Medicago truncatula: one gene and its partner. The protein of the gene in region 1 binds, or shares a complex with, the protein of each later gene. Links are inferred from orthologs where the notes say so. Each region holds a gene or a part of one and is shown in the gene's direction. Other genes may lie near its edges.

What was found.
Region 2: the proteins of plastid division protein CDP1, chloroplastic (region 1) and plastid division protein PDV1 are in contact, whole or in part, in a crystal structure (PDB 6JZN), measured with the Arabidopsis thaliana proteins. The link is inferred for Medicago truncatula from reciprocal best matches to the Arabidopsis thaliana genes PARC6 and PDV1. Residues at the interface, in NP_188549.2 of Arabidopsis thaliana: Trp700, Glu701, Lys704, Leu708, Trp729, Leu732, Thr735, Ala736, Lys739, Cys741, Trp743, Phe745, Leu773, Glu775, Ala777, Glu778, Leu779, Asp781, Ala788, Lys789, Tyr790, Ser792, Tyr794, Ile796, Tyr798, Ile815, Ile817; in NP_200140.1 of Arabidopsis thaliana: His264, Leu265, Asp266, Val267, Met268, Met269, Ala270, Arg271, Gly272.

What each region holds. Positions count from the first base shown.
Region 1 is NC_053047.1:36,570,982-36,587,726, reverse strand, and holds plastid division protein CDP1, chloroplastic, read left to right. Parts: upstream 1-7,286; 5' UTR 7,287-7,491; coding exon 7,492-7,749; intron 7,750-9,019; coding exon 9,020-9,133; intron 9,134-9,247; coding exon 9,248-9,385; intron 9,386-9,502; coding exon 9,503-9,607; intron 9,608-9,701; coding exon 9,702-9,824; intron 9,825-10,706; coding exon 10,707-11,075; intron 11,076-11,237; coding exon 11,238-11,333; intron 11,334-11,505; coding exon 11,506-11,622; intron 11,623-12,111; coding exon 12,112-12,177; intron 12,178-12,255; coding exon 12,256-13,029; intron 13,030-13,764; coding exon 13,765-13,955; intron 13,956-14,075; coding exon 14,076-14,157; 3' UTR 14,158-14,458; downstream 14,459-16,745. Other genes in the region: DNA-binding protein RHL1, read right to left, coding at 755-1,084; auxin-induced protein 15A, read right to left, coding at 2,493-2,795; succinate--CoA ligase [ADP-forming] subunit alpha, mitochondrial, read left to right, coding at 15,370-15,762. UniProt on the Arabidopsis thaliana protein: Component of the plastid division machinery required for PDV1 localization to constriction sites. Involved in chloroplast division site placement. Required for the proper formation of FtsZ rings at the division site in nongreen plastids (e.g. etioplasts).
Region 2 is NC_053042.1:9,751,632-9,769,214, reverse strand, and holds plastid division protein PDV1, read left to right. Parts: upstream 1-8,959; 5' UTR 8,960-9,100; coding exon 9,101-9,427; intron 9,428-12,855; coding exon 12,856-13,365; 3' UTR 13,366-13,881; downstream 13,882-17,583. Other genes in the region: arabinogalactan protein 41, read left to right, coding at 1-22, 762-835; low affinity inorganic phosphate transporter 4, read left to right, coding at 4,221-4,612, 4,808-6,002. UniProt on the Arabidopsis thaliana protein: Component of the plastid division machinery.

The sequences.
Region 1 (16,745 bases):
AAGTGTTTGTGTCGTGTGCATTAATGTGCAAGAAGAGTTACACTCAAAATCTAAGGAGCACCAACACTTAAGATTGAAGGAGTATCCAGTGTCTTACCGACACAACAATGCCACAAGTGGTTACATTCAATCAATTCATTATCAGTGTCTACATCGTGCCCAATGCTTATGCAAGTGGTGTTACACTCAACCTATGTAGCACCAACACTTCAAATAGAAGGCGTCCCCAACTAACACCATAACAACACAAGTGGTTATATTCAGTCACTTCCATTTTCTCAAATTATTACCAGTGTCCACATATCAGTGTCTAATGTCTATACTATGTCCAATCAGTGTCAGTGATTCATATCTCAAAACAATCAAATCCTCATTCAAAAAATTAATAAAGCTGACAAAATCTCCTAGTCTTGATTTGAAAGTAGAGTTACACTCTAAACCTATGTAGTAGTTGCACTGACACTTCAAATTGAAAGTGTCCAATTTCTGATTGTCACAACAACTGACATAGACAATTACATTCAATCACTTCTATCTTATCAAATTATTATCAGTGTCCACGTGTCAGTATCGTATCCAATATCCGTGTCAGTGGTTTATAGCTCAAAACAATCAAATCATAAACAAACAAACAAAATTAATAAACCAAACCCAATTTTCTTGTAATACATACTTCAAAACTCAAAAACAAAACAAACCCACAACCAAAAACCCTGAAAAATTGAATTTTTAAAACACAAAAGTAAAAAACAACCTGAGGGAAATCGAGGTAAAGAATTGGATTTTTGGTTCCCAAATCCTTAAGATCACCAATCTTCCCACCACCAATAGGAGCAAACAAACCAGGAAACGAGAAAAGGTATCTACTACTCTTCCTCTGAGACTTCTTAATAATATCTTTACCATGATGTTTAGCAACAATGGAAGAAGGATTAAGGTGAATTGAACTTCTAGCTTTGGTTTCTGAAAGCACGTTGTTTGAAAATGCTAAGGATTTGAGTCTCTTGCGTTCTATGGTTTCTGGGTTTGTTGCGTCGGCTTCTTCGTCGCTGCGTGTTTTCTTCTTCGTTTTTGGTCGTGCCATTTTTGGATTCAACGTTGTTTCTTCTGTGATATGGCGCGGGAATGAGAATGAACTCTTTTAATAACACAAGAGTGGGTTTAGATTTAGGGAAATGACTTAGTCAAGACGAGACAGTTGCACTCCACTCGACTCAGCTGAAGAAGAAGGAAGAAAAAACAGACAAGTATGTTCGCTTGAAATAGACCGGGTTCCCTATGAACAAGAAGTAAAGTGCAAAATGATTGTAATTAATGTTATGTTTTAATTTAACTTATAAATTTGGATTATTGTTTCGATTATGCTAATTTTGAGTTTATACAATATAGTTTATGCAAATAAATAAATTCCTTTTTATTATTTATAAGCTTATCAGTCAATGTAATTTATAAAAATAAATAAATAAATTAGGTTGTGTTTGTATGACAATGAAACCACTTACATGGATTATATTATCTCCAATCTAGTAGGCTCATAAATTGTATTGTAATAATAAACAACAACTCTTATTAGTATTAGGGTGATGGTTATAACTTATAATCAACTTTAATTGCAATGACATGTTGAATAATTATTTTGGTAGTTGAGGTTTGAATCTCAGACCTTACATATACAATATATTGTTTTTACTAACAGAGTTAAGCTTGCAAGGAGACATGTCGAATAATTTAAAATAAGAAGTGTGTACTTTTGTTTTTATTATATAAATTTTATTATAAATCATCTTGCATATTCATTTCCTATTATGATTGTTGAAATGAAGGTGACGAAAACATATAATGATTTTATGATTGTTTTCCTTCCTTTAATTTTGACGATAAGAGAAGGAGGACACACATAGAAGATGATTTACGATTGTTTTTCTTTGCTTATTCACAAATTTATTTAATGACAAAAATACCATAATAACTTGGTGCTCACTCAAAAGCTCAACACGTTAGGAAAGAAGAAGAATTTTTTAAAAACTAACTTGCGAAATATAAATATGTGCATGGTACACTAAGAAAACATAGGAAAGAATAATACTTTTTTTTGTGACAACATGATTCTCTTTGTAAGAAAGAGCCAAATTTGTGTTGTTTGGGTTAACCAGAGGTTTTTTTTTAATTGATATTAACTAGCAATATAATTGATAGTAATTTCTTGATAGTAAATCATATATTTTCTTGAAATTAGAAATTAACTAGTAACCATGTATTAAATCATATAATTGATGTGTGAGGTTAGTATTTTAGTAAATCATATATTTTTTTAATTGAAATTAACTAGTAATCTTTGATAGAAATTAGATTACAATCTAAAACCACAAAGATTCATTCTTTGGGAAATTTATTCTAAAATACTAACCTCACACATTTTAAGGTTGCATCTATTTGAATATTAATATATAGAGAGAGAAAAAAATAAAGTTACGAAGCAGCTACAACATTTTTCATCTATCCAAACTAGAAACAATGGACTCAAAAACATCTTGGCGGCAAGGAAGAGTGAGACCCTTACGATCATGATCAAAACCAAACTCTTCTTCAGCTTGACGGAGAAGGTTTTGAAACACTGGTTGATGTAGAAAAGAAATTGGAATAACATATTTGATTCTGTTTTCTCCAACATACACAGCAATGTAGCCTTGGGAAATATCTGAATCAAGGCATTGACGATCATTGTTAACTTGTGTTTTCTTGCCTAGACATGAAAATTTCTTAAGAAATTTTTTGATGGGATTTGTTGGAGCCATTGTGTGGATTTCGTGTGACAATATAAGAGATTATAATTTTAGTTATGGTTTTTGTAAAGTGGTATGATATTAAACACCCTGCGAATTCTATTTATAGACTCACTCATGTGCATCTCTTAGATATTTTTATATAATTTAAAACCGTATATTTGATTTTATTTAAATCCAAAATATAATTCTCTTGAAACAATTTCAAGATCATATTTAAATAATTTTAAAACCGTATATTTCATTTTATTTAAATCCAAAATATATTTCTCTTGAAACAATTTCAAGATCATATTTAAATAATTTTAAAATCGTATATTTCATTTTATTTAAATCTAAAATATATTTCTCTTAAAACAATTTTTAAATAATATCTTTGATTTTATTTGAATCCAAAACATATACTTTTTGAAAAAATTCGCTTATGTGCACCTTTTCAATATTTTAAATAAAATATATATTTTTTAAAACAATTTCAAAATCATGTATTTTATTTTATTTAAATTTGAAATATATTTCTTTTAAAAAAAATTCAAAATCATATCTTTAATTTTATTTGAATCCAAAATACATTCTTTTTGAAACAATTTCAAAATAAAATCATTAATTTTATTTAAAACCATTTTATAACACACACATTTATATATATATATATGTGTGTGTGTGTTTTCAAACAATTTCAACATTATATCTTTGTTATTAATTTATTAATAAGCCTCTTTGACAAAAAAAAAAAGGCTGACTTATTTATTTATAATTTTTTTTCTCATCTATTTGTATTTTGTGCTAGACCTTGTATGTTCTCGTAACATTTGTAATCATATTAAATAATACATATTTAAGTTAATATTATATACAATAAATAGGAATTATCGACACATAAGTGTCATCCAAGTGACAAGAATGTCATGTGACCTGACAACACTTTTATGTGATAACTATAATGGATATAATTACTTCTTTTCCCTTTATGCCTATAACAAAAAACAACATATAGATTGTGTAATCTATGTATAGTTCAATATTTATATTTCTTGGTTTTGAAATATATTGAGTAAAGAATAAATTCAATATCTCATTTTTTTTAAGGAAGTTCAATATCTCGTATTAACTTAGTTAAGCATGACCATGCATTTTTACACTCATATTCGTAAGAGTCTTAAATACATTTTTCATGTTTTGAAAAAGTTGTATTTTTAGGCTGGTTTTCAAGTGGGTTTGGGCTAAAAAAACTAGGCCTTTTCCTCAAATTTGCAAGAGAAAAGAAAAGTGTTTTCTTGACATAGAAAAGTTCATAAAGACACAAGTAAAATACATTTATGCCCCCAGCAGTCGTTAACTGCCGTTGGTTTTTCCCCCAAAAACCAGAAAACCCCTACCTCTCCTATTCATTCATCACCTTACACCACCAATACCATACCAAAAAAAAAAATCCCCTTATCAAATTTTTTTTGTCAAAATCTTGCTTCCAAATCATTGCTGATCGATTGCTATGACGTTTCTACACACAATATGCATCAAATAACAGGTATTACAACGTTAAAATCCATTACATTTGATTGATTTTTCTGGTTATTTTGTTTTGTACTGTCACAAGCTTGAGCGGCAGTTAACCACCGTTGGGTTTGAGCGGCTGTTAACTGCCGCTGGTAACTTAGAAATTTTTTCAAAATTGTCAAATGGCAGTGCTACTGCCCAAAAAAAAAATTTCAATTTTTTTTCCTTTTGTTTTTTTTTTGTTTATGTTATTATATGATATTAGATACATGTTTATTAATTAGTTTAGTAATTGTATGTTGTTTATTTATAGATAAGGTTGAGAATGCGGGTGATCGAAAACCTAGAGTTGTCGATTCCATTAAGGTTGAAGCTCTCGCTAAGGTCGAAGCTTCCGTTAAAGTTGAGGCTTCAAGCGTCAATTCCGATGTGTGGAAACTTCGTGACAACGAAGTGGACACGGCTCATTTATTTTCGACCCGATGTGTGGAAACATGATTTGCCTTGGTTTAATCCCAAATCATTTTGTCCTTCTTTCGTTGGTTGTCCACTACCTCCATCATCCACGGAGTGGAGAAATCATAGGAGCGATGAGGCAAAAACATGGGATTATGAATTCTTGGATCAACACGATCGTTTCCGAGCACTCATGGAGATTGAGGACAAAGAGAGACCGATTCCACCAAAAGAACCAACAAATGAAGACAATCCAATTATGTTTGATGACACTCCAGTTAAAGAAAATGAAGAATTTGAAGATGTTCTGGAACATTTAGATTATTTGCTTTTGTTAGATGAAATATGACACTTTTTGGTCGGTGTTAATCTGTTTTTTAGTCGATACGTGCCGACGTATTTTTTGGATATATAATGTAATGATTAATTTTTTGGGTGATATGTAATAACCTTTAACTATATATATATATATATATATATATATATATATATATATATATATATATATATATATATATTTGAGTTTCGCATTTATTAGTAATTAATGTACATTACGTGTAATGTGTTGCACAATGTGAAAAATTTGATGGATTTCAAACAATTGTGAAACGTTAACGCATTATCGGTTTTGTGTAATGTTACCGAATAATTGATAAACTATGAAATATTGATGTTTGTGATTGCTTGATGTTGTTGTTTCGGTTTGATTTCCTCCTGAATTGTCGTTCGAAATTATAGGTAAAACAAGACAAATTTCCTGGAAAAAACCAGTGCAGGCTGCACCGATTCTGCTAACTAGTGAGAGCGGCAGTTAACTGCCGCTGGCTCCAGCGGTTGTTAATTGCCGGCGTATTCTTGAACGGCTGTTAACTGCCGCTGGGGGCATAAACGTATTTTACTTGTGTCTTTTTTGTTGTTTTTCACCTAGAGGCGCACCTCACACGCTAGTGCAGTTTTCGCACACCCTGGGTGTCACATCAGCACTCAACAGCGTGTTTTTGGGTTTTTTTTAGTCTTTCTGAGTGTTTTCTTCCTTGTAACTTGTCCTGAGACTCGAAGTAGAATTTATTCTCTTTGTAATGTCTTCAGATGCTTTTTGAATCATCATCCATTGTCTTCCCAAATTCTCTTGAGATGATTTGATTTGTCAATTTGCATTATTTTGCATTGAATTACATCATGAAACCTAAGAACTGTTTGGTTTTGGGGAAACTAGAATTGCTTGACTCAAAATGAAAACGTTACAAAAAGTTCCAAAAACCATAGACAATTGTTATAAATATCCTCTAAATTGGATCAAAACCTAAATAAAATGACTGAAAAATATGTTGAAAATAACGTAAGATGACATGTCATTACCCTTGACCCCAATTTGTCTTGTCCTTGAAATAGTTTAACAATCAAACACTGCACAAATCGAGCTATCATGTCCTTCATTTTTCTGCAGATCATATGCATTTATAGTGTGCCAATGCATTATTATACAATGTATAAGCTTATCCAATCCAACCTTTATAAAATGTGATTATTTTGGGCCGCTTATATCATTGCTCCAATTACAAGGATTCTAGTCATCTTACATAAAATTTTGCTCCTTCGCACCTTGAAAATACTAAAATACCCTAAACGGCAGCTAAATGTCGTTTGCTCAATGAATTAGTCGAATTTAATTGCCGTTGAAAGGCATTTTAGTAGAGAGCGACAGTTAACTGTCGTTGAAGGTATTTCGGTATTTTTGGGGTGTGAGGGAACAATTCTTGAAGTGAAAAGATAAAAATCCCATTTATAACAATGATAATAACACAAAATCATTAATTGAGTGCGATAGATGTGAGATATCGTGTGCTAACACATTATTACATAATCTACAGACTAATTTAATTCGACCATTGTCTAACGCAATCCACTTTGGGCCCCTTGTATCCATGGTCTAATTATAGCGGTGGTTTGTAGTAGCGCGATCATCTTTGGGTTACTTATAACATTGATCCAGTTATAATAGTGATCCATAGTAACACAAAATCATCACTTAAGTGCAATAGATATAATATATCGTGTGTGCTAATGCATTATTACACAATCTACATGGTCATTTAATTCAACCATTGTGTAACATTATCCTCTTTGACCCCTTATAGCCATGGTCCAACTACAACGATGATTTGTAGTAGCACGATTATCTTTGGGCCGCTTATAACACTAGTCTAGTTGTAGCAGTGATCTATAATAACACAAAATCACAACTTAAGCGAGACTGATCTTAGATATCCCGTGCCAATGTATTAAGTTAATTTAATTCGACAATCCTCTCCATTTGGTATAATAAATGGAGTATGCAATTTGGAGAGAGATAGACACAGGGTCCTACTTTTAAGTGGATCCCACCATCATTAATTACTTTTTAATTTTTTGAATTTTTTTTTATCTATATCTTTTCGAATGGATGAAATCGAGAGAATAATAAATGGAGAGGATCTTAACTCTTAATTAAGACGAAAGAGAAAAAAAAAATCCACAATAATTATTACTACTTGTTTTAATTTGTCGTAATCTCCCTCTTTTTCACCCAACGTTTTTCACACACACTTCTCTCCCCCAATTCTTCACTTCTTCTTTTCTTCTTCATAACAAAAATTCCAAATCACTTTTCACAATTTCTAAACTCAAACCAATGTGTTACGAATTTCCAATTCAACAATGTTGAAATTTCACTGAACAATTAGGGTTTTGAAGAAAGGGGAATGAGAGTTCGCTCATGGCACTGGCTAATGCTGCAGTGATCGGTCCTTCTCTGTATAGCGTTGCTCGCATCACGAAAGCTCCTTTTCCAGGTTCACATGGAGAAATTGGTTCTAGATTTTGTGGTTCTGCGTTTTGTGTTTGTTCTCACGCTGGGAAAAGTGATGTTGTTCTTGAACGGAGGAAGTTGAAATTTGGTGATAGTAATAATAATCGCATTGTTGAAAATCAAGTGTTGAAATCGACAGTCGAAATTCCGGTTTCGTGTTATCAGGTGATTGCAAATTGGTGTTTGTTAGTTTAATTGCGTGTTTGTGTGTTTAATTTGTTTGATTATTCATTCGTCATTGTAATTATCATCGCCATTTTTGCGAAGTAATTAGATGTTAATGATAGGATCTTAGTGAGTTTGATGAATTGGAGGAATGATTGGGAGTGATGACCGCCCCGGTGAAACACTGACACAGACCCTAGACATGACACAGACACACGGCACTAGTAATAATAATTTAAGGAAATAGGAGTGATTGTATCTAAACACATGCGTCAATGTCAGACATTGACACGTGTTAGATACTCATACACGTCTTCAATTTGAAATGTTAGAAATGACACATATATAGACACAGACATGTAGGCGCTGGTAATAGTTTAAGAAAATAGAAGTGATTGTATTTAAACACCCGTGTTAGTGTTGGACACTGACACATGTTGGATACCGGTACATGTTTTTGATTTGAAGTGTTGGTGCTACATAAGTGATATTTGATATGTTAAAGAGAAATGACTCAAGCTTTAAAATAAAACTTGATGTTAATTCTCTTTATTTTATCATAAGATAAAGGATGTTGCATGGAATTGAATGTTGGAAGGTAAAATAACTAACAAGAAACTAAACTTATTGTTGTAATGATGAGATTGTCAGCGCAGGCACTGACACATGTTAGATATTTGTGCATGTTTTTGATCTGAAGTGTTGGTGCTACATAGGTGATAACTGACATGTGATAGAGAAATAACTCTAAGCTTAAAGAAATCTTTGGTATTCATTTATAATAAGACGGATGATGTTTTATGAAATTGGATGTTGGATGGTAAAATACCTAACAAGTAAACTTATTGCTGCAGTGATGAGATTATGAGAATGTTACAATGGAGGAAGAAATGGATATATTAGACAAGATAGGATTAGAAATGAAATTATTAGAGAAAAAATGGAGATGTGTTCGGCGAAGACCTGTAGATTAGAAGTAGATGAGGAGAGCGTGCATAGTCTTATAATTAGAGGTAAAGGAGAGACCAAAGAAAGTTACAAGCTATAAACATAGATTTAGGGGTAGTTTTATTCTGCAATTTTGGCTCGTTGAATATGATTGGATAACTCCATATGTTTTATATCATCAACTAAGTTTGAACATATCCACCCTTTGCATTTTTGTTTTCCATGTTATGAAGGAGTTGGTGTTTGAGACGATTCATTAGTTATGATGAGTGTTTTATTATTGTTTTGAGATTTGTTCTAGACCACTTGGTTCATTTTGCAGCTTATTGGCGTTCCTGATCGAGCTGAGAAAGATGAAATTGTTAAGGCAGTTATGAGTTTAAAAAATGCAGAAATTGACGAAGGTTACACAATGGGCGTTGTTGCATCTCGCGAGGTATAGATGTCACCACTAACTAATTATGTTTTGCTAAAATTGGTTTTAGAGACGCAGATAAAGTAACTGAGTTGTTGTTGTTGTTTGTTGCTCTCATCTAATATTACTTTGCAGGATCTTCTGATGGATGTTAGGGATAAGCTCCTTTTTGAGCCAGAGTATGCTGGTAACCTGAAGGAAAAGATTCCCCCTAAACCTTCCCTTCGTATTCCTTGGTCTTGGTTGCCCGGTGCTCTATGCCTTCTTCAAGAGGTACACTTGGCACATACTTGGTCTTTTTAAATTTTTTTTCTTCCCGATGACCGTGTATTAATTTCTCCCTGTTTTCTGGAAATATTTGACTTCTACTTCTCTATTCCTTCTGTTCAGATTGGAGAATCAAAGCTTGTGCTGGACATTGGAAGAACGAGTCTTCAGCATCAAGATGCGAAGCCATATGCAGATGATTTAGTTCTTTCTATGGCACTAGCTGAGGTAAGACATATGGACAGAGGTTGGAAAATTACTATCTGAATTTAAAACAGTCTTGTTTATATACCCTATTCTTATCATAGGTGTCTTATTGAAGTGTACAGTTGCGAAAATTGGCTTTGAGAAGAACAAAGTATCTCAAGGTTTCGAAGCTCTTGCTCGTGCCCAGTGTCTTCTAAGAAGTAAACCATCTCTTGCAAAAATGACACTCTTATCTCAGGTGTGAAACTTTTTTTAAGTGTATATTCACTGACTGGTTTGCTTAGTATATATTACCTCAGACCCTAAACATAGGCTCCTCTTGAGAAATTATCATGTCCCTTTTTATGGGTCCCCTTCAAATTTTGAAGTGTATTAATTATTTCTTTATCAGCATAATACTTCTTATTAATTTTCCACCTTTTTTAGAACCAACTAATAAACAATAAATACTGTCATGGGAAAGATAAATTCACCCTCTCTCATAAAGGGTAAACTTGGAAAAACTATACCAATTGTTAATAAATTTAATTTAATACTACTTTCAACTTTCTTAGTCTTCATGATTTAGTCAACAGGGTCTAATATTTATGTATTTAGGGACAAATGTAGTATTTTACCAGGAAAAGATTAGGCTATAAGCCTGTAAACTCCACCTCTCATTTCAACTACAAAGAAAAAGGAATCATTAATTAAACAGGTGTAAAATTGTTGTAATCCCTAGTTTTTGTTTCTAATTCAAGAACATTGGGAATTTCCATGAAGTCTAGGAATAATGTGGTGTACTTATTTAGTGAAGATGATCATTTCTATTTCAATATTAGATTTATTGCTTCTATAATTTAAAAAGCTCCGATAACAGATAATTTAAATCAGCTTCCTGAATATCCAACCTTATCATGGAACACCGTATACTTATCTCGTATTTCTATCAATTCTATGTTCATGTCATTTTCATATTTTATATCATCTTTTTGGCTGGAGAATTTACCATTGTGCAATTATGGTTGGAAACCACATTCAATTTAAAAGACTTTAGCCTCATCCATCTTGTGTATTATCACATTCCATGTCGGTATATTATGCATGGAACAACCCTGAGAATGCTTTTAATGGTGTATAGATTGAAGAATCTCTTGAAGAGCTGGCCCCCGCCTGCACCTTGGAGCTATTGAGTGTGCCAAATACCCCTGAAAATGTTGAACGAAGACGAGGAGCAATTGCAGCTTTACGCGAATTGCTTAGACAGGGTCTTGATGTTGAAGCTTCATGCCAAGTACAGGACTGGCCTTCTTTTCTAAGCCAAGCATTTCACAATTTACTGGCTAATGAGATAGTTGATCTTCTTCCTTGGGATAGCTTAGCTGTGATGCGAAAGAATAAGAAGACAATTGAATCACAGAATCTAAGGATAGTAATTGATTCAAATTGTTTCTATAGAGTTTTTACAGCTCATATGGCACTTGGATTTTCCAGCAAGCAAAAAGAGTTGGTAATAACCTTCTTCAATAATACCTTCCTTCAAAGCTTATAAGCATTTTAATATCCCTTCTATACTCCTTGTATCATAAGTACTCTTTTTGGGCTTACGTACTCAAACAGTGACATTCTTAATTTCATCCTGATACCAAGTCTTTTTATAAATTATATGCAGATTAACAAAGCAAAAAGCATATGCGAATGTTTGATAGCTTCAGAGGGCATTGATCTAAAATTTGAAGAAGCTTTTTGCCTATTCCTTCTTGGACTGGTATGTTTTTATCGTCTTAACCTTAATTATTGGAGCTGCTGTTATGAAGTATTTAGACATTTTGTATTTGAATCTTGGTTTCCTGCAGCAATATTTTTTCTTTCTTTCCAACTTTCCAATTTTCTGCGAGATTCTACAACATCGTGCTTCATTAATGTTATCTTCAATCTAGGGCACAGAGGAAGAGGCAGTTGAAAAGCTCAAGCAGCTTGAGCTGAACTCAAATCCAAAACGTAATTCAGTCTTGGGGAAGGCAATAATGGATTCTTCAGCTGTAAACCCATCATTGGTATTTCTCTTGTCATCATGTTCATTCAGTTTCTTATTTTTGTTTTCCTTCAGGACGTGGGTTGAAAATGCTTAGGTGCCTTTATTACACAAATTTCTTGACTGACCTTAGTGATGCCATTTCCTCCCATTTTTTAGTCTTGACTCTCTTGAGGACCCTAGCGCCCTATGTTCTCATTGTGTGCTATTAATCGAGGCATGGATTTCAAAATTAGTGTGTTTTGGAATAGTTTTATGCTTATGTAAAGACAGTGAAGTCTAACCTAAACGCCGTATGCTAAGATTCATTTCTTTTTAGTTTTTCAATTGAAAATGAGATTTTGTTGAGAGAAAATACCTCAGCTTTTATTTAGCTTCTGGAAATATTTCTTCAGTGTATATTATATTCTTACATGAGATAACAGCTAAAATTCGATGGCTCAAGAACTTCTTTTTATCCTTTATTTTAAGGTTCTATGATATAATTTTGAGTTTTTTGCTGAATTGGCAGGAACTGTGGCTGAAGGATTCTGCGCTTGATTTATATCCAGATACTAAAGGTTGTTCTCCAGCTTTGGTAAGATCAACTATAGTGAACGAAACTAATTTGTTGCTTTGATTCTGACATGTTACTTACAGATGTTCATCTCTGCAGGCCAATTTCTTTAATGCTCAAAAGAAATTTTCTGGAAGCAAGAATTCTAAAGGATCTCCACAAATGTTTCCTACTATATGTCATAGGCCTCTATCCTCATCTGGTTCTGTAGAACGAAAAGATTTTGAGGAACCTCGCTCATATATGAGTTCTTCCTCAAATTTGGGGTTTGCTGTCAAGCAGCTGACTCCTACTGATTTGCAGGGTTCACTGCTATCTGGCAAAAATGAAAACGGAGTCAATCAAAGTGAGCAAACTGTTAAAGTGAAAAGGAACCTTAGCACTCATCACAATGGAATTTGGAATAATCACTTCACTCGTGCTCAAGTATTTGAAAGAATAACACACATTACCATATTGGGTTGTATTGCATTTGCTTGTATGAAGTTGTTGGGAATGAACCTGGGCAAGAATGGTTCTAACTTGGCTTTCAAAAAAGCCCACACTTCTACTTCTTGGACTACAAATTCATCTGCTAACTACACTGTAGGCCCTACCTATATTAGGCGAAGTTCTGTTGGCAACAAACTGAAGGGACTTATTTCAATGGTTAAGATGCAGTTTTTGCGCCGGCCAGATGCTGAAAGCCGAAGTGGTTTACACAGCACTCTTACCTCATCATCCTCCCCTATTAATGTGTATAGGAGGCTGATGCCTGTGGAAGAAGCGGAAACCCTTATTAGGGAATGGCAAACAATCAAAGCTGAAGCTTTGGGGCCTAGCCATGAAGTAAATGGCCTAACTGATGTCCTTGACGAATCTATGCTTGCTCAGGTAATGCATGCTGATGCTGCAGTCTTCTTTAACCACTTTTTTTATAATCAACTATCATTTCAATTTTCAACCGTCTATTGTTCGATCATTCAGTTCATCAATCTATAGACTATTTAACTATTAAATGAGAAAGTTATACGCTATCATATGGTTTCTTGTTTGTTTATGATGAGTAACATAACAAATTCATCAATCTATAGACTATTTAACTATTAAGTGAGCAAGTTATACGCTATCATATGGTTTCTTGTTTGTTTATGATGAGTATTATAACATACATGATTATCTGGGGCTTTGAAATACTTAAAATTTGTTGGTTTATGAAAGGAAAATCATAACAAACCAGCTATATGCAGGTCCATTTCATTGGCAGTTTGATTGTTATTTGCTTCCAAAAAAATGTCTTCAATTTAAATTAATCACCACAAAAAACTTTAATATGAATGATCATATTTTTAGAAAATTAATGTTGTTGGTATTATAGATGGCTTATTAGAGAAATTTGACTCCTACACTGTAGCTAATAAACTTGTGGATAGACAGACAACTCAATAGCGTGTTCAATCTTATTGGAGGGTTTGAATAATAAGACTCCCACACAAAGTAACATTTGGAAATAAGAATTGTCAATAGTTATTGATTGCTGATATGACTTAATTCTTGAGAATTTTCATGTTCATGTTGACTATGCATCACATGGAGAAAACTTATTGGTTTTTATGTTATCTTTGACAGTGGCAAGCTTTGGCAGATGCTGCAATAGAAAAATCTTGTCACTGGAGATTTCTTTTGCTAAAACTGTCTGTCCTTAGAGCCGACATACTATCAGATGGAAATGGATCAGACATAGCAGAGATAGAAGCCCTTTTAGAGGAAGCAGCTGAACTTGTTGACAGTTCTCAGCAAAAGAACCCAAACTACTATAGGTAAGACAAGCTTCTCTTGCTTAACTAACAACTGAACAGTAGTCTATTGTTAATACACTAATAATATCATTTATGCATTTTACTGTTTTTATTAACCATTTTTTTAATGATTAATTGCAGCACTTACAAAGTTAAGTATGTTGTGAAGAGGCAAGATGATGGATCATGGAAGTTCTGTGAAGCTGATATTCAAACGCGATGATATATACACACACACCAGGTCCAGGATAACTGAAGTTGAGGCTAACTTGGTTCCTTTCCTAAATTTATTTTCTGGGAAGTGGGAACCTTAAATTCATAGCATTCTACGTATAGGCAGATGATAACACTCTTCTTTCTGATTATTTCCTGTAAAAAACTGATTGATTGACATAATTGTAGATGTTCACCAGAAAATTATGTGATTAGCAATTCTTTCTTTGTAGTGTGAAAAGTGAACAAAAGGAATTTGAGCAAGTCTCTTTCTTCAATGTCAATAGTATTCCCACTTTCGTTTTTATTTATTTATTTAGTTAAGAGTCCATTGTGCACTAAGAGCGTCCACAATCGTGTCTTTTTCTTATTTAACACCAAGCTAGCGCCAATACTGAGGTGTCAGAAAATTTGGTGTCTATTTCGAACTGTGTTGCGTTAAGGACCTGCTCTCTCATCGTGTTTGCGATCCTCACATGTATCTCACATTTCTTACCCTTTTGATTCATTATGGAAATAATCTCTGCTTTGATTGTTTGAACATGATTTTATCCTTTGATTTTTAGTCTTTTCAATGTTGGTGACTACACTAGGATTCAAACTGTGAGTCTGTGACTCTACGGAAAATTGATCATAGGGCGAGTTACTTTCACTTACCAACACCACATTGACTCTCCAGTCCGTTATAGTCTACAAAATTTTCACCAGTTTTTTAGTTGCATGCTACAAAGTACTAAAATCATTAATTTATCCTTCAAAAACCAATTCATTAATTTTATCTTGTTACTAATATAAAAACATATGTAGGAATGCATTATTTTTTATTTTTTTTTATAGAATGTAGGAATGTATTTGTAGCGACGTATTTAGACTTTCATTGAAAAAGTTAATAATAAAATATGAGAATATTTTGGTACAAATATATATCAACTAGGTGACATTTTATTCTCTATGCAAAAAATTTAAATTATAAAAATAAGTTGACGGGATTTTCTTTTAAGCAATACCAAAAATTAGTTTATATATTGATTCTAGACCAAAAAAATAAAAATAAAAATATATTTAATTGTGCGTTTTATTACATATTTTCAATATTCTCCCAAAAAAATAGATAGTCAGTCCAGAAAGGAGGCACAGGGTTTCTTTCACAAAATCAAAACACCCTAAAAACAAACCCAAATCACACTTTCACTTCTGATCTCAAATCTCACCTTCACACACGATGACTTTCCACCGCGTAACAAAACTGTTCTCATCAATCGCCTCCAACAACCGCCGCAACTTCTCATCAACCCCCTCTCCGGCGGTGTTCGTCGACAAAAGCACACGCGTGATCTGTCAAGGAATAACAGGCAAAAACGGAACGTTTCACACCGAACAAGCGATCGAATATGGAACGAATATGGTTGGTGGTGTTACTCCGAAGAAAGGTGGAACGGAACATTTAGGGCTTCCGGTTTTCAATTCTGTTGCGGAAGCGAAAACTGAAACGAAAGCGAATGCTTCTGTTATTTATGTTCCTCCTCCTTTTGCTGCTGCTGCTATTATGGAAGCGGTTGAAGCTGAGTTGGATCTTGTTGTTTGTATTACTGAAGGGATTCCTCAACATGATATGGTAGCTATTTTGAGATGAATTTTGTTTTCTATTTATTTGATTTTGTGATTTTTTTATTTTATTTTATTTTATTTGTTGCTAGTGTAATTATTGTTGTTATAGGTTAATATGTGTTGATTGATCTAGTGAAAGCTATGTAACACGGACAATCCTTGGATTAGGCGTGTCCCGGGTCCGACCGACGCTTGTAATTACACTGTATTACATAATTTTCTCAAATTATTAGCGTTGTCGGCATCCGTGTCATGTCAGGTGTCCGTGTTCGTATCCCTGCTTCATAAAATGAATTTTGTGATGTGAAACCGGTAGTAATTTGAGAAAATGAAAGTTATTGAATGCAACCATGTATTACTCTTTTTGAGCTTTTTTATTTATTTATCTATTTTGAATTATGATTTTTTTTTTTTGTTGATGTTGTTGTTACAATTATTGTGTGTCGATTAATCTAGTGAAAGAAAGGGTTAGGGTGACCTAAGTTGCATTTTGAGCTTTGAAGCACAGACATGACACAAACACGTATATACGACACAGATACCAGTAATAATAATTTGAGAAAATGGAAGTGGTTGAATGTGACCACAAGTATCAATATCATGTCTCTGTCACATACCAATATGGTAGCTATGATTACTCCTTTTGAGATTATTTATTTATTTGGAATTGTGATTTGGTTTTGTTGTTGTTTTAATTATTATGGGTTGATTGATTAGTGAAAGAAAGTGTTGGGGTTACTAGAGTGTATTTTGTGCAATGAAACACTGACATGTAAACGTCAGTAATAATTTAAGAAAATGGAAGTAATTGAAATGGTTACTCTCTTGGTTGTTTTTGTTGTTGTTGGTAATGGTGGTGTTATAATTATGTTGTTATTGTCTTTGGTTGATATGTGTTGATTGATCTAGTGCAAGATAGGGTTGGGGTGACTACAGTGGATTTTGTGCTATGTAGCACTGGTACCAACACTTACACGTAGACATCTACAA
Region 2 (17,583 bases), on another chromosome or scaffold:
GCTCCTGCTCCCACAAGTGATGGTAAGTTTTCATTAAGATTATGATTTTAACATAGGTTTTTCAAGTATTCATAAACTTTATCCTTCTATGTTGATCTCACCATCTTATATAGTTGATGGATGATATTCCAAATTTTGTTCTTTTCCTTGAGAATCAAACTTGTGAAAGTTCAATGATTATAAAATTATAACATAATTCATAAATTCTTGATTTTGATTGTGAAAGATAAGATTTTACCTCATGTTGAGAAACTTTTTTTTGTCTTGATCATAATATCTCGATCAAAAAATTTAAATAGGGTTTATGATTGCAATTTAGACTGCAAAATCTGGTATTTGATGTCTCAATGACCACAATGTGATTGTAGTTGAAGTCGCAATATTCATGTATGGCTGCGATTCTCCAAAATATCAAAAATTGTGATGCGTAGTCGCGATTTGAAATATTTTTCTCATTCGTCTTTGAGTTCGTGTTTCTTTACCTAATTGATTTAGACTATCTTGGGTTTGTTAGTCTAAAACACTGCATGTGTAGTATTGTTAAAAAAACACGAATTAAACCGTTAAATTGAACCGCACCGATAAGAATGAAACTTGTTATTGACAGTTCACAAACAATTCGGTTCATTCAATTTCTGAACTATCTGTTACAATATGATATTTTTGGGTTTACTCTTTGGTTTTTTTCAACCGTTCTAGCCAATATTGTTGTTTGGTTGCAACGCATGGCTAATAATTAAATTGTTCTTAAAAATTTGCAGGAACATCAATTGACCAAGCAATAGCATATGTCCTAATGCTGGTGGCCTTGCTTCTCACTTACATCATTCATTAGGGCATCAACAATGGACTTGTACTTCAATTCTATATCAATACAGATCTTTTTCAAGGGCATGTAACATGTAATAGGAGGAAGAAAGATGTTTTAATTTGACTATTGCATATTTGAATATACTTCCATTGCTCCAAGGATAGTCTCATTCTGATTTTTTGGTTATCTCTATTTATTGTGATTATTCTAAATCATTTTTAGTATTTTTTAAGGGAAAAATCATTTTTTGTTATTGATAAGGAATGAAGGGAAAATAAATAGACAAAATAGAAAGAATGCTGCCTTAGGTTGTCTTTTTATTTTTATTTTTGACAAAACAAAAATAATATTTATTCATTCAAATTGATAAAGTACATTGAATACACCATCGTTAAAAACAATAACAAAATATATAAATACGTAAACAAACGCACATCATCCAAATTAATAGCATACAACATTAAAATCTTACAATTACTATGATAAAATCAAATCAACTAGAATATCTATATCGGTATATCACTAGATCTGCAAAGTTGAAGCTCAAGTTATTGATTGAATTTTTAATTAATTGAAGCTAATGTTTTAATATGAACCAACTAATACCACAACAATATGAGAAATCAAATAATGTCTCACCGAGACATTGAACAAAAAATCGTCGCACTCAAACGACAAGATCACAAAAACACAAGAAAAACGTGTTCGATGAAAAAATCACTTATTTAAATTAAAAATGTACATAAAACTTCTTTTACAATCCCCGGTTTCAGTCCCTTTATTTTGGAGACGATGCAACATTTGAGTTTTGTTCACGGGTTCGAACCCGCACCTCTATCAAGCATATTCACTGTCATTAACTATATGAGTTGTATTTATGGGACAATAGTTGAAATTTCAATCAAAGTAAATAAGACTTATAACATCAGCTAAAATATGTTGAGCTTGTTTTAATAACCCGATAATTATTTATGTTGATGATTCTTTCGTTTAAAATAATGTTATTTCAATTCTTTGAAATTTTATAATTCAATAAGAACTCTCTTGATAATTAGTAATTCAACCGCTGCATTCATAAACTAATTTAGGCCAAGACCCATTCATAAACAATAGACAAACTCATGAGTAAACGATACAAAAACCGCTGCATCAAATTCATTGAACTTAATAACAACCCATTTGTAATTCAACCATTATGTTGACAAGCTTACACATGAGTGGCCAAAGCATACACCTTTGAGAGCATACACAGTTGTTGTTGATGACAGGGGCAAAACTGGAAAATAACTCAAGTTGCACCGTATCCCTTCACTTTCTTCGCATAAGTGGGGAGATTGAGATTTTAGTGGGTCCCATCCAAAAGTTATCACTCTCTTCTATTTCTCTGCTCAACCAAACGAGAGGAGTGTGCCTTCTCTCTTCAACTTCTCTCTATTCAATTTCTCTCTTTCTTTTTTTATTGATATCAAACACAGTGTTAATGAAACTTTTCCGGCGTAGTCACACACCACCCCCCTTCTTTTTACATCCCAAGAGTGTTTAAAGTGTGTCAAAGTATATTTTTTTTGTTTGAGACACTTGACTGAATTGTTCGATACATATCCTACAAATATTTCGTGTAGATGTCACCTCTTATTGTGTCGCAAAAACCCATCTATCTCTTTCTTCTCTCTCAAGGCTAAAATCGATTTCACTCCTATATTTAGAAAATAAAAAAAAAGGACAATCTAAGTGTAAGAAATAAGTAGGAAAGATTGTCAAATTCATCTTCAAATAATTTTCCTTGATTGTTTTAAACTCGTTCTATTTTCTATTTGCTTACATTTGAATATTTAAAACTTGTACTATGTTCTATTTGTTCATGTCTCTTGAACACTTCAACCCTTTAACCATCGGACTACACCTTCGCGGACATAAATGCCTAACTAAAAGTATTAGAGATTTATTGTCCTTTTAAAGACATAAACACATCATTTTGGTCTCAAATTTCGGAGTCTCTAACACTTAATGATGGAATTGAAATTAAATTTTATTTATCGTTTTCCTCTCTAAATTATGGTGGTAATTCAAATTTTCTAGTAGTATGGTGTTCCCTCATATACAACGCAATTGTTCGGTACGAACTCATTAGAGGATTAATGAGAATGATAAACCCTCACATTATGATTGATCAAAGGATCAAATTTGTTGAATGGTAGATGGAAATCATAGCAATGAATAATGACAAAATGTACAAGTAGCTAGATTATTTGTCATCTGATTTGTATAGCGAAGTATTAGAGCTTATTTACATAACTAAGTTGGATAGTTATTCAGTTAGTAGTTTTCCCAAAATATACACGGACTTGACTAGCTAGTTTCTTTGATGATTGTTCAATACACCTCTCAATTTCTCTTATGATCAGGTCGAACTCTCAATCAACTATTTTTGTATGTAAAATTTGATCAGGTAAACTCCTGATCAACTTTTTTCAGCAAGATGAACAATTTTAAGAGATCTATTGAACAATCTTCGTTTTTTTTTCAACATACTCAACTTAAGTTGGGCTGATCCACAACAAAGATTAATTTTTGTTCAAACAACTAATACTATCTGAAAATACACTTCCAAAAATATGTTAAATTTTTGTTTTTTTTAACATGGAGTGAAAAAAAGTTGCTCCCTTATTATTTAATTGGCACACATTTTTGTATGTTTAGTAAATGACACGCATTCTATTCGGTGGTAACGTTTGTCCTCACATACACCTCATTTGAATTGCATTTGTATCCTACTACCTCCCTTTCCAATTATATAAGATATTTTTGAATTTTTTTTGTTCCTTTTTATAAGACCTCCTTGTTATTTCCAATTAAATTAATTATTTCTTTACATATATGTCCCTATTTATTATACATTTTTTTCTTCAATCAGCAATAAATAGCATGTTGAAAATATAAACTATCTCTCTTTCTAAAGGATAAAATTGTAAAATCAATAGTGATTACAAATAACTTTAATACAAATACTCACTTTCTTAATTCCTGTGATTTTGGCAAAAAGGTCTTGTATATAGGGACGGAGGTAGTATTATGTTAGCAAGCAGCTAAAAAACAAAACAATAATCCTCTTTTAACAGCTAACTGTAACCAAAACAAAAGCACTTAGCATTTTTGAACATTCCCTATAAGAATATCCTAATTAATTGATCAACACTAGGTGAATATCCATAACATTTAGCTAGCAATCTCAATTTTTCTTGTTCTCATCTCCTAAGCTAACTTAGGACTAAACGTCACATTGTTACATTATCAAACACATATCAATGCATAGCCATAATAATATATATAAGAGCATACACATAAACACCTAAACCAAATTAACTCCAAAAACCAACTTGAGAGAGTCTTCCTTTTTTTTTTTACCAAAATGGGATTAGAAGTCCTTGAGGCTCTTGATTCAGCTCGTACACAATGGTACCATGTAACAGCTATAGTAATTGCTGGCATGGGATTCTTCACTGATGCCTATGATCTGTTCTGCATTTCAACCGTTTCGAAGCTCTTGGGACGATTATATTACTTTGATCCAAGCACTAACAAACCAGGGAAGCTTCCACCATCAGTTAATAATGTAGTCACCGGTGTGGCCCTTGTCGGAACACTTTCTGGCCAATTAGTCTTCGGCTGGCTCGGAGACAAACTTGGACGCAAGAAAGTTTATGGTGTCACACTCATTATCATGGTTGCTTGTGCCATTTGCTCTGGTCTTTCTTTTGGTTCTTCCGCGAAATCTGTTATGATAACCCTTTGTTTTTTCAGGTTAGTGGTGGATCCAACTTGGTTTTTAAGAAAAATAAAATAATTTTAATAAGAAAAAAACCGGGACAACTTAGTCCCTACCTAAACTACCGCAAGTAAAAAAGTTTGATTTTATATCTTCAAGGGAGAAGGTTCAAATTCGTCGTAATGACTAATAATTTTCCCATTTTGCCATGAATATTTCATGTGATTTAGGTTTTGGCTTGGATTTGGTATTGGTGGAGACTACCCTTTATCAGCAACCATCATGTCTGAATACGCCAACAAAAGGACACGAGGCGCTTTCATAGCAGCAGTTTTCGCAATGCAAGGCGTGGGAATCATCTTTGCCGGATTGGTTTCAATGGTATTTTCAGGAATTTTTAAAGCATACTACCAGGCTCCCCGTTTCAATGAAGACCCAATTTTATCAACACAGCCCGAAGGGGATTTACTCTGGCGATTAATTCTCATGATCGGTGCTGTTCCAGCTGCGATGACTTACTACTGGAGAATGAAAATGCCTGAAACCGGTCGTTACACTGCAATCGTAGAAGGGAACGCGAAACAAGCCGCTGCAGACATGGCAAGAGTTTTGGACATCGAAATCATAGCGGAGCAAGATAAGTTGGCTGAATTTAAAGCAGCAAATGATTACCCTCTTTGGTCTAGCGAGTTTTTCAACAGGCACGGTCGTCATTTAATCGGTACAATGAGTTGTTGGTTCTTGTTAGATATTGCTTTCTACAGTCAGAATTTGACACAGAAAGATATTTACCCTGCAATGGGACTTATTCGTCAAGACAAAGAAATGAATGCTATTGATGAAGTTTTCCAAACTTCGCGCGCCATGTTTGTTGTCGCCTTGTTTGGAACATTCCCCGGTTATTGGTTCACTGTTTTCTTCATTGAAAAGCTTGGAAGATTCAAGATACAGTTGGTTGGTTTCTTCATGATGTCTTTCTTCATGTTTGTCATTGGTGTTAAATATGAATACTTGAAAGACGAAAACAAAAACCTCTTCGCTCTTTTATACGGGCTAACATTCTTCTTCGCGAACTTTGGGCCTAATAGTACAACTTTTGTGTTGCCCGCTGAGCTTTTTCCTACGCGGGTGAGGTCAACATGCCATGCTTTCAGTGCTGCATCTGGGAAGGCGGGTGCTATGGTTGGTGCGTTCGGGATACAATACTACACGTTGGATGGTACGCCAAGGAAGATTAGACGCGCAATGATGATTCTGGCTTTTACAAATTTGATAGGATTCTTTTGCACGTTCTTGGTGACGGAAACTAAGGGACGATCTTTGGAAGAGATTTCGGGTGAGGATGGAAGAGAGAGTGAACTCACTGCAACACCAAATGACAGGGCTCCGGGGATTCGCCAGGACTCAAGAACTGAGAAGATGTGAATTTAATTACATGCTGCAACATCCATGTTTGTTTTGATAATATTATATTAATGTAATAATAATAAATAATGGGGCCAAAATTGATGTGTTTAGCTGGTTTATGATTATAAGATGAACCATAAGTTATATTTTGTTATGTGTTGCTGACAGAAAAATAAACTTATTGTAATGTTTATTTTTTAATGAAACTTATATAGTACTTTATTGTAATGTTATATTTGTTTTTTCTTACATATAATTTGTGTTAAGAAGACAGAAATGAGAAGAGTATACTTCTTCTCACATATGACAGCAATAACCTAGTGTGAACCTCGTTGATGTCAAATAATACAGAAGTGATCTTTGTAGGAGACGTTGATGTTGTGAAAGAAATATAGTACTTGATGCCTAAGTCAATGTTTTGATAATGTATATGAAGTTTTGTCAAGAATGAATGTGTACATATAACTATAAGAGATTCTATCCTAGAAGTTCATCTTTGGGATCAAAGTTCTAGGTCAGTATAGTTTTTATAAAATCATGGTGGCTTGTTTGCTATAATTTTGTCAAAACTCAATGCAAATATAAACAAATTAACTCGTTTTTCATATTCATTGAATGATGAGTTATTCCATGAATATGAAAAATGCATCTTTCTTTATACTTGGGACTAAAGGGAGTATCAAACAAGCACAAATTATTTTATAAACAATGAATTTGGAATGATAGATACTTCAATATAACCTACGAAGTTTGGATACTCTAAATAAGGAGACGTACCCATATAATACGTATTGGATATCGATAATCCGCAGATACATACCACGAAGTATTGAAATTAACTTTTAATTTTTTAAAAAATATTTTGATATTTCACTAATACACACATATACTTATAAGATACTTTATATATATATATATATATATATATATATATATCTTAGAAGAGGTGAGGGGTTGAAAAAAAGACAGTGTTATGATACTTTAGTGGAGATATATATGACTCAATTTAAGATGTGGATAAGTTGAACTGTCTCTAGATGAACCATCCTTAAAAGTTTTTTTTTTTTTTTTGTGGATGAAGGTAAAATGCCCCCAACGACAAGTAATTATGTTTGTTGTTGAACGACAACTAATTGTTGTTTTCCCACTAGCAACAATTAATTGTCGTTTCATTGTGAACATACTCTCTTCAGAATGAAATATAAGCAAAAATGATAGTTGAAAGGTCAATGTATATGGTTAAAAATTTATTTCACATACATCAACGTTTCAACTACCCTTTTGCTTATATTTCATTCTTGATGGAGTATATTAGAGTCAAAAATAGAACCACTCACATATTGAAAAACACTCAAAACACAAATTGTACTCCCTCCAAACTCCAATAAACCAAACTCTATAAAATTTCTTCAAACTCAAGCAATTAATCAAGTAAGTGTTCACAATCTCTAAGCATACTAAACATTGTTAGTTTTATATGATTAGGTATTTTTAATTGCTCACATGTTAGGGTTTTATTTTGTGATATTGATGACTTTTTGGGTAGTTGTTGATCAATTACATACTTGCTTTGAATGTGAATGTAGTTGATGAAGTTATTTATACAAGTGCATTGTGGGTAGTTCAAGAAAGGAAATGACACATTGGACATTGAATGTATATATGGCTGACAACATAGATAAGTTCAGGTTAGGCAGGTTGACCCACACAAGCAGCATACACATAGTGAATGTTGCAGTGAACCTCCATCTAAACAGGGCCGACTTAGGCATATGAACCTCACAGACAGGAACCACATAGGTGGTTGATCCTACACTATATATGCATGAGCATTAGTACGAGGTTCAAGCTAATGACAACCAACATCATGCTCCATCACCACCACCACCACACAACACCCATCACCATACTACCATGACCCACTACCACCTATGGGATTAGGTAGTGGGCATTCTGATTTTTCTATACTGTTTAATTGCTTGTATTATATGTTACCAGAATTTGGATGTGAGAAGTAAGTATAATTATCTTGGTCAAATTTAAGTGTTTTTAAAATTAAGTTTTTTTTTTCTGATTTATATTTGTTAGTTTGCTTTTGTGTTTTAGTGATGCAAACATGTTATGCAAAACATCACACATGGAAATAAGATAAGTATTAGTGAATTGCAACATCAAACAGTGCATATGAATTGATTTTAGGGTCTTGACTCTTGTGCGTGCTTATGGTCTTGTCTCACTTCTTGTGACACCTTTCGTTGAGCGGTGGCATGACAAAACCAACAACTTCCTCTACCAGTTGGGAAATGACCATCACGTTGGACGATGTGTCATGTTGTCTACACATCACGATTCATGGCAAGTTTATCAATGATATGGCTAAAATCTATCAAAAGCAAGGTTATGCTCTTATTACTGAGTTATTTAGTGTGAACGGAGATGATGTTACTAATGAATGCAAAAATATGAAGGGTGCGCGCGTTGAATTTGCTTGGTTGAAGCAATAACGAATATACCGTCAAAACTATCATATTATTTAGATAAACAAAAGTCAAAAAAAGTATTCAACATCATATACAATATAACTCGAATGTGTGGTGTATGGAGTCAAAATTAAAGAGAGAGTCAATAACCATTATATTTTGTGTTTTAGTCAAATTATTTTCGAAAAACGTTTCCATCAAAATAAATTTACACTCTAACAGCATCAGAGCAAGAATTCACACTTTAACGTACAATCAAACATACCGCAAGTCTAAATTCACAAATTCATCAAAATTCAAATTCTCCAAAGTATTTTCCCTCCTATAAAAAAATAGTAATTTTTTTGTGTTGTTGACAGATAGAGAGTGGACTCGACATGGTTATTGTCACCAAAAGATTATTTAAATTCAAATAAAGTAATATACGTGTGGTCACTAGTCACTACAGTACATAACTACTTTAATAAAATAAAATACAAAAAAAGTAAAATACTCATTTCTTCTACAAAAAACGACACAACGTTCAGCCAAAAATTCCTTCCCTTGTCTTCAAGCAAACCCTCACTCTTCATTCTTCATCACACACTTTTTTCGCTTTTTTCATAATCGCGTTCTAAATAATCGCGTTTCGATGAAATGAAATGGAACACGCAAATGGAAGAAGTAGAAGCGATTCTCGAGAAAATCTGGGACTTACACGACAAACTCAGCGACGCTATTCATTCCATTTCACGATCTCATTTTCTCACTTCCGTCAAAACGCTCACGAATTCTGCGCATAACAAAAACGACACTGTTTCTAGCGAAACGACACCGGAGGGTAATAACGGTAACGGTTTTGTTTATGTGAAGGATTTTCGGCCGGTGAATGACGATGTTGATGATGCCGTTCATGAAGCGAAGAGTCTTAATGCTATTAGAACCGCGCTTGAGAATCTTGAAGACCAGCTCGAGTATTTTCATGTGAGTTTTTTCAAATTTTTTTATTTTTTGTTGAATTTTTTGTTTTGAATTTGATTCTAGGGTTTGGTGTATTAAGAATTAGGCGCGAAATTGAATGCTTGATATGTTTTTGCGATTTGAAATTTTGATGAAATTGAATGTTTAATATGAATTTAATTTTTGCTTTGATGAAATTGAATGTTAATTATTTCAAAATTATGTGGCGCTAATCTACACTTTTTGATAAAATTGAATCTTAATTTGAATTTTCACTTTATGATTTGAGATTTAGGTTAATTGACTCTTTGAGGAAATGAATGATAGGTTACAATTGTGTGTAGGATTATTTAACCTTTTTGAATTTGAGTTGATAAAATAATTATTTAATAGGGTTGTTAATTAGCATTGGATGGTGACTGTCAATTGAAGATCGTGAAAAAATAGCAGTTGTTCAAATTTTGATATGCCACAACGCTATAGCGCCGTAGTAACTGCTATTTGACCACATTTTGTTCTAAATAGTGTATTGTGGAACAATAGCGATTAGCTCAAATTTTGCTATGCTATAGTGATATAGGTTGCTATAACTGCTATTTGACAACAATTGTTTATGTCAGAAACTGGTATCAAAATACAATTTGATTGTAGTAACTGACTTTTATTGATGGTAAAATAGGTTTACAACATAAATAGTATTACACCCATATAGAAAATGTAACCACTTTCTCTATTTATTCCTTAAAATAAACAATATATAACTGACATAAAACTGCCATAATAAGAAGTTTAAGAACATCCAAAATGGTGGGTGCTTCACCTATTTAGCACCATACTAAATAGGCACCCCATTGTGGAGTATAACATTTGGGTTGCCTATGGAGAAGGGTGGCTAAGGAAGCACCCTCTCTCTCTCTCTCTCTCTCTCTCTCTCTCTCTCTCTCTTCACTTTTCGCGGCTCCCATTTCATAAATCATAATGAAATAAATAAATTTTGTTGAAATGTAATGATATAGAATTATTTGTGGAACCTATTTTGTAATTTCTTGTGAGGTGTTGTGTTGAATAAAATTGGTGCTTATTAAGTATTACCATAAGATGAATGATGTGGACATAGGTAGCCCATTTAAGCACCCAATATCGGTGCTTTGTCATGGATAGTCTAATGGTATATTATTTTGTTTTTTCTCAAAACAAAATGTAGCCTTTGCTTTATATTGTTTGTAAGTTTTGATTTAGAATATTCTGGTTGAGTATGATGTGTTCTACTAGGCGAGTTTAATTGAGTTGAACAATACTGGCACATGAATATATGACCCCAAGGAATGACAATGTGGGTTGGACAAACGAAAGGAGTGATGAAATGATGAAACATGTCAATAATCTAATCAGATTTGATTAATTATCAATTAGGTTACATTTGACTATCAAACAGAAGGGTGATGATATAACTTCTTGCCTTGTTTCAATATTATTGTATGAATTTTTTAAGGGTTGAATGAGTGATATATTGGTCTGAGAGATTTTTAATTTCAGTTCAGAGTAAATGGTATCTGCAGTAAATTTATGAATTGTGATAATCAAAATGCTTGCAACTTTCCTTGCTATGCCCCAATCATAGTACCAAATTGTTGAATCTGACCCCTAACAATGAACTTTAGGCAATAGAGAAAATTGGAAGGTTGTCTGATAAGTGGGAGCTGTGATATTTAATATGTTTTTTTTTACAGTTTCATTTCATATGTTACATGTGGCAGATATATGTCAATGTTGCAAAAACCAACATAATACTCATTTTTATACTTTATACTATAAACCTGTCTAGGAGAGTAAACCAACTAAGCCAAGCTTAGTTCAGTAAGACTGCTAATGCTACATACCACCAAACTAATGTAATATTGTAACACACAAACACTTAGCATCAAGATGAAGCTTACTATTCCTCTTAGCTTGTTACAAATAGACACCCCAACAGAAAATTGCCTCAACATATAATGCGTGCTTCATAATACATAGCTGGAAAAACAATTACACAAAATTAAACAGCGCATCTTGAAGTCAGGAAGTGAAGTCATCGTTACTGGAAATAGTAAAGATACAACCTATTATTTTTGGAATGCATGATCATGATTAATTTTAAAACATTGTTATTTGGTGGAAATTAGTTTGTTTCACCTCACGCTTTTACTTAATATGCCCCTTGTAGTATGGCATACACAATAGACCATTATTTTTTAACTTAGGAGACCCAAGAGCTTTGAAAACTTGTTGGGAATATGAAAGAGAGCCAAACACATCTAGCTGCTGACAAAATGCATGCGAAATTACAAGTAAACACTAAGAAGTCATGGATTGGTGACCACTAATCACGAAGAAGTAAGAAGTTTATGTCTTGGGATTAATGCTTAAAGTAACTAAACTGTGTGAACATTGAAATTCAGACAAAAAATTTCTATGTTGTAATTATCAATCATCATTTTCTAAATCCAACACTTCCTTACCATTTTCAGTATGATTAGAGCATAGATGGTCTTTGGCTGATGGCTGGTCCCTAGAGTTGGTCAGCTGGTCACCCGAAAGAGAGACGAAGTGAGAAACTGTAAAATAAACCTCTGTTGCAAACCAAAGGGAGTTCTGGTGTGATTTTCCTATGAAACCACTCAAATACCTCCCCGCAAAAATCTCTAATGATTAATATCTAGGTTTTTTTTTTCTTCTGAATTTCAGTTTGTACTCATTGGGTGGCACTATCATGCCGCAAAATTCTCTATTTTGCCGCAAAAGTGGCTGCAACATCTGCTATAGTGAACAGTGACACAATGGAGGGCATTGTATCTGCTATGGGCCATGCTGTGACAATACTATTGTGCAGCAATTCCGTGCAATTGATAATCCTGAGTACGCTATGTACCTAATACTCCAAATTATACTGATAATAGAAGTCAAGTAGCAGTGTAGTACAATTCCAGATCAATGAGAAATACTATTGTTACAAAATTAACATGTATAAGCCAAATATTCTTATACCCATTAATACTTCTAACAAAACAAGTTTGACATCACTTGTATCACATAAATAACCCTAATTCTTTAACGGTCTGGATGAGATAGAGCTCTCTTATTCATAAAGGATTACCCAATTTCAGTAGTAGATAATCAATAGAACTAATGTTCCATGGAACGGCAAGTTTGTATAACAGGGGTAAGTATGGTTTAATGAGTTAATGTAAAGGATTCTTATTTGGTTGATGTGAAGAATAAGATATTTAATTCATAAAATGAGCCGACAATGTATATATGCAATATTCATTGTTTTTTCTGGAACTTGAGAAGGTTTTCCAATCAGTTAATCGCATGCTTAATATTTTTACCATGACTTTTTGGCCACTTCTTGTTTGTTTTTTTAATATGGTTTTGTTCTAAATTAGAATTCCTTTCTGTATGATATGTAGACCATTCAGACTCAGCAGCGTGTTGAGAGAGATGCTGCGATTGCACGTCTGGAACAGAGTAGACTTGTTCTTGCAATGAGACTGGCAGAACACCGTGGCAAAAAATATAAAGTCATTGAAGAAGCTCTTGCTTTTGTTGGAGATGTACATGATGCTAGCGGCCTTGTTTCACCTGAAGTTTTTGGACAACCAAAATGTACAGATGAGAATTTTGTAGCCGAGAAGGGGAAGAGATCTAATATCCTCGTCAATGTTTTTGTCTCAAGTTTCAATTTTGTGAAGAAATCTCTTGGGTTGGATCATATGGGCGGAATAGTAGGAAATGCTGCTCTGGTTGCCGTTAGTATGATTGCTTTGCTTCAGTTGCAGCAGGTAACTAATCATGAACATTCATTTAGGGAAGAAAATAGAGTTCACAGCAACAGAACTATGAGAAGAGCAGCTCACTTGGAGGGTTCTTCGTCCAGTGCCCATTCTGGTAACTTGAATGTTTTTTTGGCTAGAGGATAGGATTAAACCTCTATCAATGTGCTGAAATGACGAGGGTTATGCTTTCAGTCTATCAAGTGATATGTTCATTTTTTTTTTCTTTCTGTGCTTTTTGTCCTTTGTTTCATCTTGATTACAAAGGAGGTCTGAAATCTGGTCTGGTGAAGGGAGAATAGGCTAAAATGGAGGCATAGCTACTTTAGTGAGTTTGCCCAAAAGGGAGTTTGGTGTCATTTGATATATGGTTTTTGTTGCCGCCGAAAGTTTGCACCGGTTGCATAATAGTTGATCTGGTAATTTGTGAGATAGGTAGGTTCTGTTTGCTGATTCACACTTCTGGTGCATATGCTTATACTTAGTTGGATAGCGTCATCTGTGGTAGATTCCTGCACCTTTCTTGTGTGCTTTAGTTTAGAAAGTAAGAATGTCTTTTACCTTGATTTTTCTTGTTCGTTTTGCTTCCCACTTAGTAGAATCTTTTGTGAGAATACATTACTGTTGCAATGAAGGTGATTTTTTTTGTCAATTTTCAAGAAACTGATTATGCAGTACTTTGTTAGTTGTTGTTTTTGGTTCCCTCTTTATTAATCCAACAAATGGTTCCCTAATATTCATATGTGGGTCTTGTGTTAATGAAGATTGATACATGTACTAGTCTATGAAGCACGAGCACCGGACACAGACACTGACACGCTGACACCGCTAATAAACTGAGAAAATCACAATTCAGTGTAATCATATGTGTCGGCGTCGGCCACTGACACGTGTCCGACACCGGGACACGCCTAATCCGGAGAGTGTTTGTGCTTCATAGGTACTAGTGAACAACTGTTTGGTAACGGAAGACAAATGGACTTGGGATATGGAGTCTTAGAAATTAATTCAGAGTTGAATTTCTGGAGGTCAACATTCACTTGTTTAGACTATAATTTATTTGTAGCATGAACTTCAAGAATTATAATTATCAATATTTAAGGGGAAAATATCGTTGGCTTGCCCGTGTCAGTGTTATTATAGTCGAGCTATTCTCCCAAATGGCTTTTAAGGACATGGCTCCCACAGATATTCTCCATTAAAATTGCAAGTGTATTTTAGGCTTAGATCTTACTTGCAATCTTCTAACTGCCCTTCTTTTTGAAGTATCATTCGTGAACAATGGATGGGACCATTTTCTGTCTGTGGATCATTGAAATATTTTGGAATCAGATTCTCAAAGTGTAATCTGATTTTCTTTAGCATTGCTTGGAAATCAAGAACTTCATCTATAAGGAGTTGGGGTTGTAGTGGCTAATCCCTTTTTCCTATATCCTCATTTATTTCTTGTTCTATCAGGTTTTGCTGAGGCCTATTGCTTCAAACTTGATGTAGATTGGGTTGTTTCAGAATCATGACTTCAGTTAAAATGTAACTTATGTGCCATAATTTTATTTTTATCATCCAAATGCGCCATTAGGCTATAACTTCAATATTATTCATGGTTAAAATATAGCTCCAGAATATAGATTACTAATTAAAAGGTTGGTGTACTCCATTTTGTTGAGCTAGTACAACTGAGTGGGACTTTAGCACATGGATTTCACAAGAACATTTTGAAAGAAAAAAAAAAAAAAAAAGGAACATTAAAACAAGTTGACCAGTTTTGCAAACAACAGCTCTTATGAGCTATATAGCTTTTGTATCCCGATTTTTTCATAAACTTTAACTTCCTGATAAACAAAGATAAGTTTATACTAAACTTATTTTTGATAAATAAAAGAACCATGTGTTAAACACCTCCTGTATAAAGGGACCAAGGCCAGTCTGAACCTCAATGCCTGACCTTGGTGGGGATGCTTATGCTATAAAAGAAATCGACCTGGAAATCTACACCAACTTGGACCCCAACATGTACAATTTTGGTTGAAACTGTGTTTTCACTTCTTAACTTAAGTTCACATTAAAAAAGTACTACATATATTTCATTTTTGAAAATACAATTTCAAACAATTTATAGTATCCGTAAATATACTTCCAAAAATATGTAAGAATTTAGAATCGATAGTTGAATTGTAACACCCTCAACGAAGTTATTGAATTCAAGTGATTAATAAACTCTACCAAACAACGAGTCGTTCAGAAGAACTTGAGTTCGATACCTTTATTAAACAATTTTTAATTAAACTGTACTTAAGTTTCGATCAAACTCAGAATAACTATGTCATTTCCCCTAATAATTAGGGGTACCACCCTCCCTATAATTGAAAACATTCAAATAAAGTCATTACCTAATTGGAGAATAATGTCAAAATAGCAATGCCCGGCGGAAGGAATGTCGGCATATTTTCTAGTTCACTTTGCTTTTAGAATTTGACTCTGCCTTTTTGGCTATTAAGGTGTAAAGGGAAAAAAGTATCCCTACCAAAAAACTGGAACATATAATGATATAATTAGCCTCGTCATACTTTCACCTACCTATAAACACTTCTTTTGACTTCTCATTGGATCATGCATGTCTCACATATCATTCTAATTAAAAAAAATTAACGGAATTAAGCTGTTTGAAATGAAGGGAAATTACTTTTTAGACAAATAGACATACCCCAACTTTATTGTTCCAACTTTTTGTACTCATTATCCCGGTTATTTTGCCTTTGAAAATTGATGTTCCCATATGAATGGTGGATATGAAACACCACGAAATTACTAATATAATATTATCGGCAGTTAACTGCCAATAAATTTTAACCGCGGTAATTAATTGTCAATAGAATTTGAAGTTAAATTTATCATTTTATGGTATTTTTTAACATTGAGTAAAGTGTAAAAAGCAACTTTCTTTTTCTTTTACTGTGAAGTGTTTGCACGTCCTTAACCCATCAAATTTGTCCCTAATTTTGTTGGGAGTTCTCAAATAGATTTCTAAGATTATGAATATTTTAAAGAGGTCATTGATTCAGTTGAATTTTACTCATTTTAGTCTTTTTAAGAGTTAAAAGGGGACTAAATTAATAATAAGTGATTAAATATAAGAACCAATTTGATAATATAATGATTAAAATATATAAACATAATTGATAATAAATAGTTAAATATAAAGATTAACTTAATAGCTTAATCAAGTTAGAGGCATTCTTGAGATATTCATAATCTCATGATATATTTGAGAACGCCCAACAAAATCAGAGACTAATGATAAATTAGTCATTTATATGTTCTCAACTAAGAACCACACAACATCAATGGCGGTATGTGTAGCTCCATTTCTTAATTTATTTATTTTTTGTAATAAAAGACGACTAACACCCAAAAATGAAAGAGAGCTATAGAATTACATGAATATTTATTGGCATGCAAGCCTAAAAAATATCATCAAAAGGGAGACTCGAGACCTCACTATAAGGAGTCTCTATAACATCAATGTTAAAAGAATTTTTTAGTTTTTTGTTATGTAAAAGAGAGGTAGAGTGTTGTTATAAATATGAAGAGTTAGTTTAATTTTCTTTACCACAACAGCTCTAGTCTTTTGGGTATATTAGGGCTTGAATAGTTGTGTGTCTTGAGAGGGTTTGCAATTTTCCATGCAAAGATATTAATTGAGAGGGTTTGCAATTTTTTCCCATGCAGAAATTGTAATTAAGAGAAGTTGCAAATTAAGATTTACATCTCTTCATCTTTTCTCTCTATTTCAATTAATCTAAATAAGTGATTTTCACATAGATATAGGTTTTTTTGTTTTTATTCTTTGTGATTTCATCATCTAAGTGTGGTGGTTTGTTGTTCGTCATCTTGTGCGGCGTTGTTTGATTTCCCATCTTCTTGCGGTGTTCATTTGATTCATATTGAAAGATCGATTATTCAATCAAAGATTTGGGCGTCAAGTTGCAGATCCAGAGGCCATGAATATTCCGGTCACTTTAATTTTATCATATATTTTTGTAGGCATTATGTCGTTATATGCTATTAACTTGGATGATGTGAGTTTGTTCGCAGATTCATCCTTTACGTTTTTAGCGGTGTTGAATGATGTAATATCTCGATTTGAATGAATGAATATCATTTTGTTTTTGTCAAAAAAAGAAATTGTAATGAAGAGGATTTGTAATTTTCCATGCACAAATAGTAATTGAGAGGGGTTTGCAATTTTTTTTTCCGTGCATAAATTGTAATTGAGAGTTTGCAATTTTGTCTTTGTAAAAATTGTAATTGTGTTTAAGTCTGAGAGAGTATGTGATCGTTAAGACAACATAAGTTCTCTTTTTT